Linked DNA regions of Kluyveromyces lactis. The protein of the gene in region 1 purifies or fractionates together with the protein of each later gene. This does not show direct contact. Links are inferred from orthologs where the notes say so. Each region holds a gene or a part of one and is shown in the gene's direction. Other genes may lie near its edges.

Evidence for each region.
Region 2: the proteins of NOP9 (region 1) and MRD1 purify together in Saccharomyces cerevisiae (affinity purification with mass spectrometry; 3 studies listed by BioGRID). This does not show direct contact. The link is inferred for Kluyveromyces lactis from reciprocal best matches to the Saccharomyces cerevisiae genes NOP9 and MRD1.

Annotation. Positions count from the first base shown.
Region 1 is NC_006041.1:1,207,763-1,211,796, forward strand, and holds NOP9 (RNA-binding RNA processing protein NOP9), read left to right. Parts: upstream 1-1,455; coding exon 1,456-3,462; downstream 3,463-4,034. Other genes in the region: small subunit rRNA maturation protein LCP5, read left to right, coding at 1-272; VFA1 (Vfa1p), read left to right, coding at 566-1,183; MRP8 (Mrp8p), read right to left, coding at 3,627-4,034. UniProt on the Saccharomyces cerevisiae protein: RNA-binding nucleolar protein required for pre-rRNA processing. Component of the 90S pre-ribosome involved in production of 18S rRNA and assembly of small ribosomal subunit. Component of the pre-40S ribosome required for release from the nucleolus.
Region 2 is NC_006040.1:1,259,671-1,264,018, reverse strand, and holds MRD1 (RNA-binding ribosome biosynthesis protein MRD1), read left to right. Parts: upstream 1-1,522; coding exon 1,523-4,159; downstream 4,160-4,348. Other genes in the region: VAS1 (valine--tRNA ligase), read right to left, coding at 1-696; DRN1 (Drn1p), read right to left, coding at 4,319-4,348. UniProt on the Saccharomyces cerevisiae protein: Involved in pre-rRNA processing. Required for maintaining steady-state levels of 40S ribosomal subunit. Required for the initial processing of pre-rRNA at the A0 to A2 sites, leading to the processing of the 23S pre-rRNA intermediate to the 18S rRNA.

The DNA of each region.
Region 1 (4,034 bases):
ATGGTAGAGGTGGTGTGAAGACAGCAAGAGATACAGAACGTGAACGTGATGTTCAAAGATTCGAAGAAGAAAATTTCACTAGATTGAACCCCAACGGATCCAAGACTGACAAGAGAATGAAAAAACAAAGAGAAATCATGGCCAAGGTTAATATGATCGCCGGTGAAGATTTCAGTATCTTCAACTCCAAGCGTAAGTTGGAGGATAGTACAAGCAGAAGAGGTAATAAGAAATCTAGAAATGCTTGGGAAAGAGCCAAGAAGAAGTTGTAAACCTGAGGTCCTTCTTTTTCTATGTATAAATAGGCTAAAATATCCATACGTCTCTATTGTCATCATATAGTGTCAAATACGTAGTTTATAAATCGAATGATAACGGTGTTGCACTGCTCAAACTCTAGCTTTGATGTGGTTTGTTTCGTTTCGTTTTGTCTCGTTTTCTTCATATCAAGGTGTAATCACCAATAATTAATTAATACAATCTAAGCGTTCCAACTTTGCAAGATATAATCACCACCTATCACCCCTACTAATCTCCTACCAGCGTACAACTTCCAGCGCCCCTGATGAAGAACGAATACACCAGAAAGAAAGTCTCAGCAAAGGATAGGAAAGCATGTCTGATATGTGGTAACCCTACAGTCACAGTTTTGTTCAATGGAAGCGGACCTGATTGGTTTTATACATGCGATATACATCTAGTTGATAACCCGCAGTTTGTACAGCCTCTATACCCAAAAGAGTATCACGAGTCTCTGGTTAGTCTTAAGCCACTCAAAGAACGCATAGAGGAGCTACAAAGGAAAGAGCGAGGTACCTGGGATCAATGGGTTAATAAGATCTTTGACTCTAAAAAGCCATCATCATCTGATGATAAGAAAGAGGACAGGGATGACGCGAGTTCTGACGACAAGAAGAAGACCGATGAAGCAAACTCACTTGAAGAATTGCAGCAAACGTACCAAGCGACACTTGATAAGCTAGCTGCATCAAGAGAGACGTGCAATAGATACACTCTACACGACCTAGTATTCCAATCAAGAGTCGACAGACTACGGAAACTGGCTCAATTAAAGGAAAAGAAACGTGTAGAGCAACAATCATACACCAACACCGACCCCAATCAACTATTACAATCGTTTTCGTTTCCTGAAGTCCCCAAGAACACCGTTAACAAGTCATGAGAGGACGGCCTAATATGCCTACCTCTTATGTCTTTTGTGCAATTCTATATCACGTGATTGATATCACGTCAAAAAGAAATTTCTGATCTTTTCAACTTTTCAATGAAAAGCTTTAAAGAAGCAGGACATAGTTAGATCCCATGCGATGAGCTTCAAACTAGAACAGAATACTTGCTGGTTTCAGGCGTTTCATCTCTGGTTTTTGCTATTTTAAATAATTTTGAACTTTAATTCGATACGTGCTCTAAAAAAAGGCTAGGAACTGTAATATCATGGCTAGAGTAAGAGGTAGAAAGCTAATAAAAAAGCTCAAGAAAGATGAGTTCCATCCAGAAGACAATAAAACCCATGATGAGCCTACGGTTAGCCATGTTAATGAAACTGCTGGGGGTGACAATAGTGATGTGAGTCCTAATACTTTCTTTGGTGTCCTAGATTCTGGCGAATTGGATTATTTTAAGAAGGCTGAATCCACGTTGGCTATTGATACATTTGAGAATCCAGATGAGAAGTACCAGTTTATCAACAGTGTCATCGAGGAAAGTAAGGGTAAAGAGTTGAAACTTGCTACGTCTCAGATTTCTTCTAAGCTAATGGAACGTATTATTATGGAAAGTGATGAAACTCAATTGAAGACTATCTTCAAAGCTTTCAATGGGTTTTATTTCAACCTTGCATGTCACAAATATTCCTCCCATGTTTTAGAGACTCTATTAGTCAGAGGTGCAGCACAGGTGGAAAAAGAATTGTTAACACCTGATTTTGATTCTGTTGATGAGGGTGAATTCGTTACTACTGAATCATTGTTTTTGTTTTTGACTAACGAGTTGCAACCGAACTTAAGGTTCATGGTGAGCCATCAATATGCATCACATGTCCTTAGAATTTTAATCTTAGTGCTATCGTCAAAGACTTTACCAAGTACTGTACAGAACAATTCAACATTACGTTCCAAGAAGTCTAAGATTGCACGTAAGATGATTGACATTAAGGATAACGATAACTATAACAAAATATTCAAGACTCCCGATTCATTCAAAGTTGTTCTTCGTTCTATGTTATCTTCAATCTACACTAGTTTCACACATGGTATTCCACAGGGCTCTGGACACTTTTCTGAGATTTCTCTCGCTGACGTTATGAAATTCAGGGAAATATGTGTTGATAAGATCGGGTCTCCAGTGATTCAATTGGTAATACAAGTAGAAGGTATCTTCGATAGAGACAGGTCATACTGGCATCTAATATTCAAAGATTCTGATGAGAAGGATCCCAAGGAAGAGTCATTTGTGGAGTACTTACTATCAGATGCTGTTGGATCTCATTTCTTGCAGAATGTTATTGCATCAACTAGAATCAAGTACGTGGAAAGATTATACAGATTATACATGAAGGATAGAATTCCAAAACTTGCTAAAAGAGATACAACTGCTGCATTTGTGTTGCAATCACTTTTGAAAGTCTTGAACTCTAAGGAAGTCAAAGAGATTATGGATGAACTGGTCCCAGACTTGAGCGTTTTGTTGAACTCTAACATGGATTTCGGTACTGAAATTATAGATGCCAGTATCCGTCATGATAATTATTTGAGGGACGAAATCATTGAACAATTAATGAAGAAATACTATCCTCGTGAGTCATCTGATAAGAACATCTTAGAATCTTGTCTTCAGTTAAGTTCCTCTACCCTTGGTAACACTAGAGATGACTGGCCAACTGCTGAAGAGAGGAGAAAATCTCTATTCTTAGAGAAGTTGATTGATTACGATGATTGCTTCCTAAACAGTACCATTGACAGTATGTTGAATCTTCCAGCAGAAAGACTTTTGCAGATGCCATACCATGGTGTGTTTTCTCACGTTGTTGAACATGTTCTACAGGTTAAAAGAGTTGCCATCATCAAAAGAAAACTCTTACTCAATGTGTTATGCAAAGATATCGTAAACTTATCCTGTAACGCATATGGTTCCCACATTGTTGATAAACTATGGACATTTACGGCTAAATTGGCTATGTACAAGGAACGTATAGCAACTGCGTTATGTGCAGACTCTGAAAAGGTCAAGAACAGTGTTTACGGTAGACAAGTGTGGAAGAATTGGTCGCTTGAACTATTTGTAAGAAAGAGATACGACTGGAAAAAAATAGTAAAAGAACAAGAGCTCGAAATGTTCCCAGATTCTAAACCTTTACAACCAAAGACCTTCAAGCGTCCTAATAATAACAACAATTCGGATGTTTCACCTTCTTTCAAGAAGAGCAAGTTCCAGAAAAAATAATCATGAAAGCATGTACTTCAACATATCAAAGTAATCAGTTGTAAATTATATATATATACATAGATATAAACAACCAAGTCACGTACACAGACGATAGTATGTATAGTTATAACTCTACTCCAGTCATTTGTTTTTTTATAACATTATCTTTTCTCAATAAAAGTTTACCAAGTGCCTTTGGTTCTTCTATTATTTAACCCTAAATATCTTGCTACAGTGTCAAAGATAACATCCATTTCTTCTTTAGTGTATTTTTTTAGTTGGTCAGCCGCAGTAGCATCTGTAAATGTAGGAATTGAAACATCCTCTTCATTACGCAAGCCCTCAGTGATTGCTTCAAGATCAGATTGTGGGAATGGCAATACGCCATAAAATTCAGCTACCTTACATAAATCCAAATCCTTGATATTGCTGAACTCTTGTACCGTTTCCGGTAAAGGAATTTTAAGATCGATTGGCAAATCGCCGTCAGCGTTAGGTAATGGACCGATCGCATCTGCTGGGTCTCTTTTATTATTGTTTGCTACTCTTCTTATTGATCTTTCCTCAAGATAATCAAGTTGTCCTTGTAA
Region 2 (4,348 bases), on another chromosome or scaffold:
AGAGGCCCAAATCTGTTTCTCAACAACGGATTGAGTAGCAATACCGGCATGATCGAAACCTGGTAAGAACAACACTGTCTTACCCTTCATACGGTAGTATCTACACAAAGAATCTTGAATAGCGATAGTCAAAGCATGACCGATGTGTAAAGAACCAGTAACGTTTGGTGGTGGAGCTGGAATAGTGAACACACCTTCTGGCTTGATCTTACCGTCCTTAGTGAACTCTGGTTCAAAGAATCCAGATTTGTTCCACCATTCGTACCAAGAGGATTCGACATTGGCTGGATTGTAAGCCTTCAAAGCTGGATCATCCAAGGAAACCAAGATCTTCTTTTCACCTGCGACCGTCTTATCCACAAATTCAGGGATTGGCTCCGTTTCCTTCTTCTTCTTTTCCTTCTTGGCTGCATTCTTGGCTTGTCCGGCTTGGTTCTGTGCTTGCTTGGCTTGCTTGGCAGCAAATTTCAATAGTTTCTCAGCCTTCTTCTTCTCCTTCTCAATCTCCTTCGGACTCTTTTGAGTACCATCCTCCTTTAATGGATTGATGATGATCTCGCCAGTCTTCTCATCGACTTGTGGTAAGTCTTGCTTTGGCTCAGTAGACATTTTTCGAATAGTAATGCTCAACGATGACGTGGGCAGCAACTGAGTTCGTAATAAGTTGAATGTACGCGTTGGAAACAACCTCAACATTAAGTTGTAACCAAAATAGTAACGCAACAAACAACTAGGAGATCCGTAACTGCCATCATCCGATCATGTTGTCATTAGTTGATCAAATTCTTAATTTCAGTTCTTGGTTTCAATGTTGGAAAATTTTTTGTCAGTTGGCACTGAGAACTCTGTACAAAGGGGTGAAAATAGAGATAAGGAAGGGGGGGAACCACGGTCAATAATGGACATTTACCAGTGTTATAGTGGTTGGAAGGTACTCTAGTGTTATGAGTCTGTTTTTCAAATGTGTAACTGAGAATATTCTTTTCAAAAGAGCTCTTTTTAGCGCATTTTATGCAGGATAGTCGATTTAGTCATAAGTGTCAGTGACCGACAGTTAATATAAAGCTCGAACAAAGTGATTGAAATGCAGTCAATGGTGATGCTAGGTTAGTTATTGTAGATATTAAGTAGTCTGCTTGCCTTAAATCACGATTTAACATTCGAGCTTTGGACAATGAGTGGTAAATAAGGTCGGATTTAAATTCTGACGTTCGATGTAGATACAGAACGCAAGTCAATACAAGGGCATGAAAAGATCTGGAGGAACAATTTGGGTTGAGTGATGGCGTGGAAAGGGTTTGAGCAGCCCTGGCGATTGTTTAAGCCTTTTTGATGGACGTGTGGCCCTAGTTGTTTATCACGTGACCGTATTTCTTTTTCTAAGGCATCTGGAAAATTTTAGCTCATCTCATCTCATCTCATCACCTCTATAAGACAAGTATTACTGTGTTTGCAGTGGGTGTAGCCATCCAAATCAACCACCTATACCAAGTTCAGCCAGACTTTAACCCAGAAACCAAATATGTCTCGTGTTATTGTGAAAGGTTTGCCGATATATCTCAAAGAGGATCGTCTAAGGGATTTGATTGAGAAGAGGTTAACTCAGAAACATCAAAGTACCGATGTCCAGTCCTACCTCAGTGATGTTAAGTTGATGAAGAACAGGGATGGTGAATCCAGACGATTTGCATTCATTGGGTTTCGTGACGAGGAGGACGCTTTTGATTGTGTGAACTATTTCAATGGAACTTTTGTCGATACCTCCAAGATCGAAGTGTCGATGGCTAAGAGTTTTGCTGATCCTAGGGTACCTCAGCCCATGAGAGAGAAGAGAAGAGAAGCGTTGAAGAGGCTCAGAGAACGTGAGGAGTTGCTTCTTGCGGATAAGAAGGACTCTCAGAAAAAGCAGAAATCAGACTCCAATAATGACGGTGGGAAGAAGCACGATATAGATGCTGAGATAGCCAAGAACAAGCAACTACAAGAGTTCATTAACACGATGAAACCCTCCAGCCAGGTAACATCGTGGGAGACTGTTCAGTCATCCAAGACTCAGGGTGAGGATGAAGAAGCTGCTGATGATGAAGTTGGTGAAATGTCCTCTAATCCGTTGCTTTCGCAAGCCTTGGCTTTGAAGGGTAATTCTCGCGATGCCGATGAGGATACCGACATGTTCAAGTTACCTGGAAATGAAAGTGATGATGAGTATGTTTCTCTCAATGGTGGCTCGAATAATGCTAATACTGATGAACCTGAACCACAAATGATGAGCTTGGATACGTTTGATACTGCTGGTCCTACTTCCACGGACGATATGGCCAAAGATGAAGCGGTATCAGATTTGGACTGGTTGAAAAACCGTAGAGTCAGAATTAAAGATGGTGCGGATACACCAGTATCGAAACAGCAGCAACAACCCGATACAGAACAACAGCAACCTGAGGAAACTGAAGTTGAAACCAGTCAAGAGTCAGAAGAAGAGAAATCATTGAAAAAGATCAGAGAAACGGGCCGTTTGTTCTTGAGAAATATCTTATACACAGCAACTGAAGACGATTTCAGGAAACTTTTCTCTCCGTACGGTGAATTGGAAGAGGTTCACATAGCAGTTGATACCAGAACAGGGCAATCAAAGGGTTTCGCATACGTCTTGTTCAAGAACGCAGACAATGCGGCCACTGCGTTCGTTGAACTCGATAAACAGATCTTCCAAGGGAGATTATTGCATATCCTTCCAGCAGATGCTAAGAAGAGTCATAAATTAGATGAATTTGATTTAAAGAACTTGCCTTTGAAGAAGCAAAGGGAACTTAAACGTAAGGCCAACAGTGCTCAACAGACTTTCTCATGGAATTCGTTATACATGAACCAAGATGCTGTGCTCAGCAGTGTTGCCGACAAATTAGGAATGAAGAAATCCGAGTTGATCGATGCTGAAAACTCATCCTCTGCTGTGAAACAGGCGTTGGCTGAAGCCTCTGTAATTGGTGATGTGCGGAAGTTTTTCGAAACAAGAGGTGTTGATTTGACTAAGTTTGCTCAGTTAAAGAATAGTGAACGTGATGATAGAGTGATACTAGTTAAGAATTTCCCATACGGTACTACCAGAGAAGAGATAGCAGAATTGTTCTTGCCTTTTGGTAAGTTGCAAAGACTTTTGCTACCACCAAGTGGCACAATTGCCATACTTCAATTCAGAGATGTTCCTGCAGCTAGAGCAGCATTCAGTAAAATTTCATACAAAAGATTCAAAGATGGGATCATCTATCTTGAAAAGGGTCCTTCTGATTGTTTCACTAGAGATGCACAAGGTGATGAACTAGTTGAGTCTGAAACCGATATCCAGAAAGCTACGGCCAAGGAAGCTAAAATTTCAGGAGCTGATCTTCTTGAAGCACAATCTCTGCCAGCAGCTGATAAAGATGATCACGATGATGATGATGATGATGATGACGTTCAAGCAGGACCTACTGTATCCATTTTCATTAAGAACTTGAATTTCTCTACCACTTCTCAACAGTTGACTGAAAAGTTCAAACCGTTTAACGGGTTTGTTGTTGCTCAAGTGAAGACCAAGCCAGATCCAAAGCAGCCAGGCAAGACTCTCTCGATGGGTTTTGGTTTCGCTGAATTTAAGACAAAAGAACAAGCCAATGCCGTCATAAGTGCCATGGAAGGTACTATCCTTGATGGCCATAAATTACAACTAAAACTATCGCACAGACAAGGTACTTCGACCACCAATGCATCATCTAAGAAAAAGAAGAAGAACCAAGGTAAAATTATTGTTAAGAATTTACCATTCGAAGCTACAAGAAAGGATGTTTTCGAATTGTTCAGTTCTTTTGGCCAATTGAAATCTGTAAGAGTTCCAAAGAAGTTCGACAAATCAGCTAGAGGTTTTGCCTTTGTTGAGTTCCTCTTGCCAAAGGAAGCTGAGAATGCCATGGATCAATTACAAGGTGTCCATTTGCTAGGTCGTAGACTTGTCATGGAGTTTGTTGAACAGGATCCAGAAGATGTTGAACAGCAAATTGAAAAGATGACTAGAAAAGTGAAGAAGCAAGTGAATACCACTAAGATCGCCAACATGAGAAATTCTGGTAAACGAAAGATAGATCTTGATGAAGATGACGAAAATGACGGTCTTCAGGGATAAAATTTGGAGATTTTACATTTCAACTTGTCTAGTAATGCATTTAATTAAATAATTATATTCGGTAATAATACTGCTACATATTGGTTAGTTTATAGAATTCTATCTTCAAATAAAAGGCGATTGTGAACGATACTTCTATTGGGTACCTTCTTCGGCCACTTATTTCAAAGTGAAATCGAAATTCTTATA